3 linked regions of the Canis lupus familiaris genome follow. The main gene of each other region encodes a partner of the protein of the gene in region 3 in a complex. Links are inferred from orthologs where the notes say so. Each region holds a gene or a part of one and is shown on either strand. Other genes may lie near its edges.

Region 1 (3,571 bases), on a different chromosome or scaffold from region 3:
GCAAATAGTTATTCTACTTTTCATTTAACTAGTTAGCAAAGCTGGACATCTTCTCATGTGTTTGCTATTAAAATACTGTATTTTTTCAACACTGAAATAAGGCTTAATAAGTATTATTTGAGTAGATTCTCTTTTTGCCCCTCAGATGCTCTGTAGTTAAACAGAAGGCAGAACACATGCGGAGAAACTGTCAGAGAATAATCCCCACTGCTTCAGCAGCCGTGTCCCCAGAGAGCTGGATGAGATGGGCTGAAGAGTTATGGATCTCAGATACCTTTACTTGCCCTAAAAATACATTTTAATAGTTTCTATCTTCTTACTGGCTCTCATCCATCATGGTGTCAACGATGTGTGTGCTGGTGAACTTAACCACTCCAAATGTGCGTGTGTGTATACATGGGTGCCCAGGCACATAAGCAAAGGCAAGGAAAATACTCTGTGTGAATGAGAGTATAAACGAGGAGCTGAAATACAAAAAGGAATACTCTGATATTATAAGAACTATGGTTTGTTCACTGTACTATCCAATTGAAAAGTATTCAAGAATAAGCCTTTCTGTATTCTTCTACACTGTAATAAAAGTCAAGATCCCTGTTCTTTTTTTGTTCAAATTGCTAGCCTCATCTCTGTAAATAAAGGATCTCAATTTCCACCTAAGTAATATTGGTATCAAGTCCACCAATATTAATATCCTGAAAATAGCCAATTTAAACTGCCTATTACTACATGCTGGAATCCCAGAGAAGCTTGCTTAATAACCTTCTCAGAGTCTGATTATATGTGACCTGGGGATAATGAAATATAATCATGTGTTCTTTAACAAGTTACTTCAAGTTATTGACTACATGATTATTAAAGATGATTAATGTCCTTCCTCCTCTGGTTTTCATAACATCATCTCATTTTCAAAATAGTCTTCCTACTACACACACCTAAATATTAAACCTGATTCACAGTTTAGCTGCAGTGTTGCAGCTAAATTTTCATTTTGATTGAATTGGAATTACCGAAAACAACAGATTACAAAAACATTTTAAGTCAAAAAGGCATTCTATAAAATATCTTTTCTTACCAGAATCTGGCAAAGAATTAAGATCTGCACATAACACCAGTGGAATAGTTCCAAATTCTCCCAATACACTGGACTGGAGATTTCGTGAGGCTTTATCAATAATGTTCTTTACTTCTGAGAGGAACATCATAGTTTGAACCAACTTCACATCAGAGTACTCGGGGTCCCAATGCATATGAGCATTAGCCACAAGAATAAGTTGTTTTTCTGTTCCAAGATGTGGCTTTCCGGCTATATTAGGTAAAAAAGAAAACAAAGAGACAGACAAAACCCGCCCATCAGCCTAGCTGAAAGCAAGTAGTATCTGAGTCTCAGGTACAAAAAGGGACCCTATATTTACCTAACAACCACGCACCTGATGTCTACATCTGCTGTACCACAAACATGAGAAACAGCCTTCTACAAGCTGGGTGAACAACCCAAAGTGGGGCATTCACTTACTTGAACACACACATCCCATTCTATTTGGGATGGCTTATTTTTAAATGGTTGTCTCCTTGACACTTCTGACTTCATTCAGATGTTCTATATTGAGTCTCACAAAATTAAATCTATATCCTTTCTCTTTGATATATTTAATATAGGCACTAAGTTTCATCTTTCTTTTCTCTCCTTCAGGTTAAACATCTCCCGTCCCAACTGTTCCTTGAGTGATAGAAGTTTCAGTTTTTGGCATGATGATCACTCTAAATATACTTTTAATTTGAAATCAGTGGTCCATTTATCCAAAACTCAAAACATTTCAAATAATGATTACAAGTAGGTCAGGAAGAGAAGTTAGCTTACAGAGTATCCTTGTGCCAAGAAATTACAGGAGCATATGGAGTTCTTCTTATTTTAACTAATATTTACTTCAACATTTCTTTTATGTAAAAAATTATTAGGAGCAAAAAAACCCCTAATTTTTCCTTTGGCTTTATGCCTTTCAAAGTTTCAAACACTTTTATGGGCACTGCTTTGTCATCTTAAGCTTTGTGGTAGAGAAAAAGTGATAGGATATTATAGAAATGACTTAAGTTCTCACTGAGTTTCTTCAGGTGTTAGATAAGACTATTAATATTAGAACAAATTTTCTGCTTTCTATTAAATTTTGGAGGTCAATTTTACAGGAAGTGAAAAGGTCACTCACATGACATTTCAATCAATTCCTTTCGAAGTTCTAGCAGTACTGCAACTCCAATGTTATCTTTTGTCATGACTCTGTTCAGCATAGCTTCAGACCCTTCTGAATTTGCCATTGCTAGCTGATTAAATTCAACAGTGTGTTTCTGAACCAAAGTAAATCTAAAACACAAACAAAAACACACACACAAACATAGAATTGGGAATACCAAAGTATTAGCTTTGTGGGAAATGCAGTTTTCCCAAGCTTCTGTAACAAATACAATGGCATGTAAATCACATCATGGAAAATCCTCCACACTTTACACCATGCTTCCCACATCCATTTCAAGTTGTTCTCAGTCTGTTACTGATACCAATAACATCTTGAAATCCTTTTACAATGTAAGATAATGTAGTCATCCTCTGTTTAAGTTTCATGTTGGAATATTCCATCTTGTAATTTTTAAATAATTCTTTTCCAAAATACAGGTTTAAGAATCCCTCTACTATTCTAGAGGGAATGTTAATTACAAGGTGTTTCAATTAACAATTGGAGTTAAACCCTAGTGAACACCTGAAGAAACAGCAGCACTTTCAACAAGTCTCCAAAGTAAGATCACTTCTGATGCTTCAAAACACTTTAAGTCAACAGTGTTGCTTTACTGAGTAATACAATGCTTCGTTCTCCAATTTGCCAACTAATTTCCACACCCTGGACTCCCTGCAAATACTGAGAAAATTCTTTTTTAAACATGACTTACTTTTCTGTCTTGAAGAATATTGCACAGCCATCGACATGTTTTCTTTCTTGTTCTGACATTGTCCTAGCTCTAGATTTAGGACTAAAGAATCCATTATAGCCACGTTCTTTCAGTTCTACCAGAAAAAAACTGTAATACTGCTCTGTTTCAACCTCCTGAAAAATTGCAAATGGCAAAGTTATTTTATAAGACCAAAATCAGTACTATGCATTAACTTTACATGTACAGTTTGAAGGGCTGCAATAATTGCAAAGGACTAATCTGCAGAATAAGGAATGTCACATCTTTTCAACATGGAAAGACATACACCTCTATGTGTGTATATTTTCTTTTATTTTAGAATTGATGGGGAATAAGAATCAGAGAGGTAGAAGGAACTTCGCAGATTCTAATTTCAGACCACAGGGAGAAAGTGACTCGCCCAAGGTCATGTAAATTATTGTAAGAGTAGGACTGAGACCCTAAAGTTACTGTGTATGCATCAGGCTCAATGTGCTCTCTGCTATGTCCTAATTATTCTATTACTGCTGATGATAAAGTAAAACCATACTTTTACAATGCCACAATTTCAGTGACCCTGTCACCCAATTAAAACATAGTGCAAGGGCATTTGGAAGGAAAAGATGAATATTTG
Region 2 (3,571 bases), on a different chromosome or scaffold from region 3:
TTAAGGTTTCTGAAAAAAGCCAACCTCAAAACAAAAATCACAGAAAGACTCAGACCACTCATTTCAAATCTTAAAATGTACTATGCTTTCTTTTTTTATACTAGAACTAGTATTTTACTTCATGAAAACATATTTGGAAATACCATGCTAACACTATACTCAAGTATACACCTCTCAAAATTTTTATGTAATTTGGCAATAAAGCATTAAGTAAAATAAAGATTCTTAATTCTAATACACAGCCTAAGAAATATAACATTACCAAGAGTTTTTAATTTTTACATCTCTTGCTTTCTAACTTTTTGCTAATTTGTGTGTTAAAGAAATAAGTATGCACTATTATGCTTTGTTTCCTTAACTCACTTTTCTGTTTTGAAGAATATTGCACAACCATCCACATGCTTTCTCTCCTGCTCAGACATGATTTTGGCACGTGACTTTGGAGAAAAAAATCCATCGTATCCACGCTCCTTCAATGCTGGCAGAAAGAGAGTGAAGTATTGCTCTGTTTCCACTTCCTGAGGTGAAAGAAAAGTTGTCATCAACATGACAGAGGAAAACTCTGATTAAGATATAAAAATATTCAGCATTATGAGTAAAATGTGACTAAGTTAAAATAATTCACATAACAAATATTATCTATTCTAACCTTATTCCTAGCAGCAGCCATTTCACAATGGCAGCTTTTAAAACTCAAAGAACCTGAACTGTTGGTATGATTTTTCTTGCTCACATGGCTAGCTGGTCCCAACTCTCTTTCGTCCCAGTTTAGAGTTCATTCTACCATACTTCAATTTATCAAAACTGGTAAAACTGGACATATTACAGATTAAGCAGTAGGGAATAGTCAATTTTATACAGAGGTATAATATTTAAAATTATTTATCTTTCTCAACTGTGATAGAAAGGAATGATACCCAAAAGTGAGAAGTTTAAGATCTATCAAGAAAAAGTTCTACTCTAAGGAATTTTTAGGTACCTGAACACCAATCATTCCAATGGTCCCTGTTAATCCAGTACTTTTAAGTTAGACTATTTTATTCTTGACCAATAAAATTTTTTAACCAATCTTTCCAAATGAGATAATCAAATGTGAAGATAATGATTTATATGATAATGCTCATAACATGATTTTATAACAGTAAAAACTAATAAATAGCCTAAATTTCAGACATAGAGAAAATGCTAAATCAATAAATAATTATTCATATAATGAATCGGCATGAAGAATTTTAGTAATATAGAAAGTGCATTAAGTACAATAGTTTGATCTCAAATCTATTTTGAAAATAGATCTGTAAATAAATAGGAAAATTGAATTAAAAAATACGTGCAATAAATATTTCAGAAGTTTTAACAGAGAAACTATTTTTGGATTATGACATTAGGTGTTTTCCTCCATCATTCTTTATATTTTTTCCAAAATATTCAATTTTTCTAGAATGAACATTTTATTCTACAGTATTACCTTATTACCTTTACAATAAAAAAATGCTTCTTAAATTATGACATTTTTATCCTTCAAACTATGCTTAGAAGAATGTGAGGCTATTATTACCGCGAATACTAAATTTTAAAAAAGGACAATTAAATAACTACAACAAGGCTGACTTTGCCTCCTTCTCTCCCCCAATTCTAATGTCAGTTCTCAGTTTTTAGAAGAAAAATTAATGTTTGAAGATTTTTATTTCTCAGGAAATCATATGAACCATAGCCAACATAAATTATCAAGCTACTCAAGTAAAAAAAATAAAAGGTTGTTTAAAAAATAATACCTTTCTTCAGGCTATGCTAAAAAGCAGTTATGAAATTATATCACTTAAAATTTTTAAATACCTTCATAATCATGTAACATGCTTTGAAAAGTTGCTAAGAAAAAATTACTAAACACTATCTAGAAACCTTGACTATTCATTAGCTAAGTGTTGAAAAGAAGTGCTAAAACACAAATTTCAACAGAAAGGTGCTTCTTCAGTTTAATTCATTATAATAAAGTGTTATAAAACACAAATGTCTAAATTTCAGATATGGTTTTTAAAATAACACAAAAATGCATGATTTATAGCACAGTATTTTTAAATGTTTACAGTGTTTATTTATCATTAAGGAATAGTGAACAAATAATTCTTTTTTTTTTTTACAGAGTCTGTAAGTTAAATTTAGATTCCTAAGACACAACCTTCTGCAGTTTTCTCTTTCTACAATACAAATGATCTCTTCATAAGATGAACTGTTAACATGAATAATGGATAAGATTATTTTCACTTAATAGTAAATGAGTATAGGGGGAAGGTTATACTTAGCAAAATAGTTTCACTGCGCAAATGTCTTATATGCTTATTAAAACTGCCCTTTTTAAGAGAGAAAACAATTCCTTTTGAATTTTGTTTTGAATACAGACTCTCTCCCAGAAGTAAGAACTACTAAGTTCACCTTTAAGTTTAAATTTCTTTTTTTAAATTTTTTTTATGATTTTATTTTTAAGTAATTTCTACACCCAATGTGGGACTCGAACTTACTTGAACCCCAAAATCAAGAGTTGCATGCTCTACCAACTGAGCCAGTCAGGTGCCCCCAGACAACTAATTTCTATAGTTTTACCTGAAGACTAATGATATCTGCATCACAGTTAACAATTTCTTCCATAATTCCCTTTTTCCTGTATTCCCAGTTTAATGCCCAGGATGGGCAATAGCCGTATAGCTGCCGGGTGGCGTATTTATCACATAACACATTGTAACACATAACTGTGAATGATGCTAAGAATTGGGAGAAAAAAAACAAAAGACAAAAGGGAGAAAATTAGGCAACTTTTTAAAAAAAGAAATACCATGTGTATACCTGCACAAGCACACATGGCACACAAACCTATCCTAAATATTGTGGAATGCCGTTGGCAAAATTCTGTTAAACTATATCTACAAAGACTTCACTAGAATCCATCACATCAAAATTCTATTACTAGAATTAGACTTACAGTTCATACTTTAGATTTTTAGGAAATTTATTTTAACAAAAATTCAAATTCTAAATCTGAATGCTAATTGTACATAATTTTTTGACCAAACTCTAAATGGAACAAAAGTAAATTTTAGTTTTATTAAAAGGCTCTAATTTCATTAATTTTTAAAAATATACATTAATACTTTTGGGAGCCTCTTACTGCTCTGAGCCAGAAGCATATGGACTAATAACAAAGTTTAGTTATAAGTGAATCCTTTTTGCCAAGTCATATATCCATTTCTGAAACTGAATTCTCATTTTAAAATGCCCTTAGATTATAAAAGGACTGTGACCAAACTAAAAAGACAATAAGGTTTATATTCTTGTGCTCTGAAGAACAAGAGCATCAGTTATCACCTAGGAACTCAAAAATGCAGTCTCTTTGGTACCACAAAGACCTACTAAGTCAGAATCCGAAAGTTGACAAAATCCCCAGGTGAATCACATGTACATTAGCTTGAAAAGCCCTGATTTTTATCAGTAATTTTCTATCCAGGCTACCCATTAGAATCACTTTGTACAGCATTTTTAAAAAGTGCTCATACCCAAGGCCCTGCTCAAGACTAAT
Region 3 (3,177 bases):
CCCCCCACCAAAAAAAAGACTAAGTGAAGAAGCAGAGTCCAACCTTCTGTCTTAAATCTGAATAAAATAAACTCATTCAATTAATACCACTTCAAGTACAATCATGAACCCCAATGGAACCGCAGAAATTCATACTAAAGAATGAGATCAAGTAGCTTGTCATCTTGATCCCGGCGCCTTCCCCTTAAACAGTCATCTGAGACCATCTCTCTGAGGACTGGAATTTAAAGAAAGGCTCGCTGCCACCTCTCCTCCCCCAGTACAGCACCCTTCCAGGACAGCCTGATGAATTAAGACGTCTGCTGAAGTTGAATAGGAGGGACATGAAAAAGGGGAAAGCACTGAAATTTGGAAAAGCTAGCAGCTAGAGACAGAAACAAGGTTAGGGTCCTTGCGGCATCCAGAACTGGGGGCAGAAGGACAGAAAGGGAAGGGAAAAAGAGGCGGTAGGGTCCTGTCGTCCTTTGGCTTTATCCTTCCCCTGCCTCCCATTCCTCCCCACAGTTCATGCAGCTATTGGCTTGCTAGAGGGGATGTAATGCCCAGACCAACTTTTTATTAAGCTTATGCAGCTAACAGACTTGTAAACAGTGCCAATTGACAAAGTTTTGCTGAGTATTACAGCTTGTGTCCACTAAACACGCCTCTCTCTGACATTAAAAACAAAAGATCAAAGTAAACAAATACTGAGAGAGAGGATGAAGAGACACATCTTGAGTCTTCCAGGAAGGCAAAAGAAAAGACCGCCACACGGCTTGGTCCCAGGCGTTCAGCATGCCTAGAGTGCTGCCACCAGCACGTCTCCCTCCCTGCCAGCGGCTGGTACGGGTGGGGGAGAGGGGCCATCTTGGGCATGCTGCGGACACAGCATTTGCTGGTGTTGACAGCCTCCTGGAGCTGCGGTGGCAGACTGCGGTGTCAGGAGCCCATCTCCCTCCTGGGAGTGGTGGAGGGAGCCCAGGTCCCGGAGGCGGCCTGAGACGGTAGCCCGTACACCTCAGCGGGGTGAGCTTGCCCCTCTCTTCTCCAGTGCAGTTCAGCATTGAGGTTGTCTATTCCCGGTCGGCGGTAAAACCTGAGCTGTTTTCCTCCAGGTTCCCCCTCCCTTCCCCAACTCAGGGGAGCAGGAGAAGGGGGCGGGGAAGGATCACTGAGGGGGCAGGGGGATCCCCCGGGGATCGGTGACCTGGCCCTCTTGCAGGTTCTTCACCAGTTGTGCCAGCCAGCGTTTCGTGGTGGTGTCATCTTTTAGCACCTGGGCGAAGGTGGTGTCCTTCAGCTGATCAGGGAGGCACTGCCTGAGCGCTTCACGTGCCCTACATCAGAGACAAACAAGCCAACCAGGGAGACCAGCAAATAAACCCACATTTGGAGAACGGGGAAGAGGCTCTTTCTTAGACATAAATATACAGAATCCTGGGAATATGTGGTTCAGTCAAATTATCTTAAGAATCCATTAAAATTCCTTAAAACTTGTATTAGGAGTGGGCTCAGAGATCTCCAGGATCTGTCATCTTGTGAACATTTTCAGAATGATGTCTCAATGTGGAATTTCAGGATAAAGCAAAATGGAATGGTACAATAGTTCAATTCAAACTGCTTTCTGATTTATTACAGTAAATACTGTCAATATGCTCATGGTAGTAACAGATGGGTTATAGTAAATGAAACACTTCCAAAATCAGTACATGAATAGGGAAGATGACCTGACTCACCGTATGATAAATTAATGAACTTGAATTCTAAATTAATATAAATTTGTGTCTTTCCAAAAACTGCCTCAGTTTTTTTTTTTTTTTTTTTTTCTTAAAGTAAGCTCTATGCCCAACATGGGGCTCAAACGCACAACTTCGAGATCCAGAGTGGCATGTGCTACCAACTGCACCCTTCAGGTGCCCGTTTTAGTTTTATAGTTAAAACACTTAATAAATTGAGATGAGAAGTAAAAACAAAATTATAGTAGCAATATGATCAGATGAAATTTCAAATGTTTCATTTTCTTTAAAAGATAATCAGTGACAAATCAAATCCAGAACCTCAAGGTAAGTGTTAATGGTTTATAAAGCTGTTTTAAATAAAGTTATGGCTTTTGTACTCAGACTAGTTTAAGTAAACATATTTTCAAACTGATAACATGAACCACTGAAGAACGAGACAAAATGGTTGAAGAAGTAGTTAGGGCTTGAATAACCTCAGAGGCAGAAGGATGCATTCACATTAAATTGAGTTATCCTCATTCCTAGGAACATAGAAATTGCCCATTATGTGGTTTAGCAGAACCTGAGCAAGTGGCTTTCAGCATGAATTATGGATTTACAAAGCAAAAGGTCAAATGTTTCTAAAATGCATTATATCTACAACGTATGATTTCTGACAGAAAGATTATGAAGATAGGGAGATAAAATAATTAGCTCAAGGACTTTACAGGAATCAAAGAGAAGAAATGAAAATATAATTTAAGAGCCCTCTGGGGCTCTATTCCATTCTTAAGCGATCTTTGAAAATAGACCTTCTCTTTCTGACCACCTGGGGTAGCAATAACTAGATATAATAGAAAGCTCAAACTAGGGGCGCCTGGTTGGCTCAGTCGGTTAAGCATCGGTCTTTGGCTCAGATCATGATCCCAAGGGTCCTGGGATGGAGCTCTACATAGGACTCCCTGCTCAGCAGGAAGCTTGCTTCTCCCTCTCCCTCTGCCGTCCCCCTGCTTGTGCTCTCTTTCTCTCTCAAATGAATACATAAAAATAAAATCTTTAAAAATAAAAAAAAGAAAGCTTAAACCATAGGAGTAATGTATCATACGGTTCCCTGGGAACTGCCTGGACTCTCTGGAATTCTAGAAGAAGGTAAGGAGTTACAGAGAGACAGAGATAAAACTCTGATGGATTTTTTAAAGTAAGCTCTATGCCCTAATGTGGGGCTTGAACTCATGACTCTGAGATCAAGAGCTGCATGCTCTACTGACTAAGCCAGCCAGGTGTCCCCAATACTCTGATGGACTTTTAAATTTAGCACTTCAGATCTAAAAGGAATTAACTAAGTTCTGCCAAACTAATTATTGTTATATCCCTTCCCTACTCTAAAGATATAGGAGCTATGCCACGAGATGGGGCAACTATTCACCAGAGTGTTTCCCTAACATCCTATAAATCCTGTAAATGTTTACCTGGGATTATC

What was found. Proteins that work in one complex are often made in the same cells at the same time.
Region 1: CNOT9 (region 3) and CNOT6 share a complex: the UniProt entries of both Homo sapiens proteins name them as parts of the CCR4-NOT complex. The link is inferred for Canis lupus familiaris from reciprocal best matches to the Homo sapiens genes CNOT9 and CNOT6.
Region 2: CNOT9 (region 3) and CNOT6L share a complex: the UniProt entries of both Homo sapiens proteins name them as parts of the CCR4-NOT complex. The link is inferred for Canis lupus familiaris from reciprocal best matches to the Homo sapiens genes CNOT9 and CNOT6L.

Annotation. Positions count from the first base shown.
Region 1 is NC_049232.1:1,476,835-1,480,405, forward strand, and holds part of CNOT6 (CCR4-NOT transcription complex subunit 6), read right to left. Parts: intron 3,093-3,571; coding exon 2,938-3,092; intron 2,357-2,937; coding exon 2,202-2,356; intron 1,304-2,201; coding exon 1,073-1,303; intron 1-1,072. UniProt on the Homo sapiens protein: Poly(A) nuclease with 3'-5' RNase activity.
Region 2 is NC_049253.1:37,970,021-37,973,591, reverse strand, and holds part of CNOT6L (CCR4-NOT transcription complex subunit 6-like), read right to left. Parts: intron 2,760-3,571; coding exon 2,602-2,759; intron 519-2,601; coding exon 364-518; intron 1-363. UniProt on the Homo sapiens protein: Has 3'-5' poly(A) exoribonuclease activity for synthetic poly(A) RNA substrate.
Region 3 is NC_049258.1:25,085,861-25,089,037, reverse strand, and holds the end of CNOT9 (CCR4-NOT transcription complex subunit 9), read right to left. Parts: coding exon 3,167-3,177; intron 2,240-3,166; coding exon of another isoform or gene 2,218-2,239; exon of another isoform or gene 1,586-2,217; intron 1,317-1,585; coding exon 1,148-1,316; 3' UTR 535-1,147; downstream 1-534. UniProt on the Homo sapiens protein: Component of the CCR4-NOT complex which is one of the major cellular mRNA deadenylases and is linked to various cellular processes including bulk mRNA degradation, miRNA-mediated repression, translational repression during translational initiation and general transcription regulation.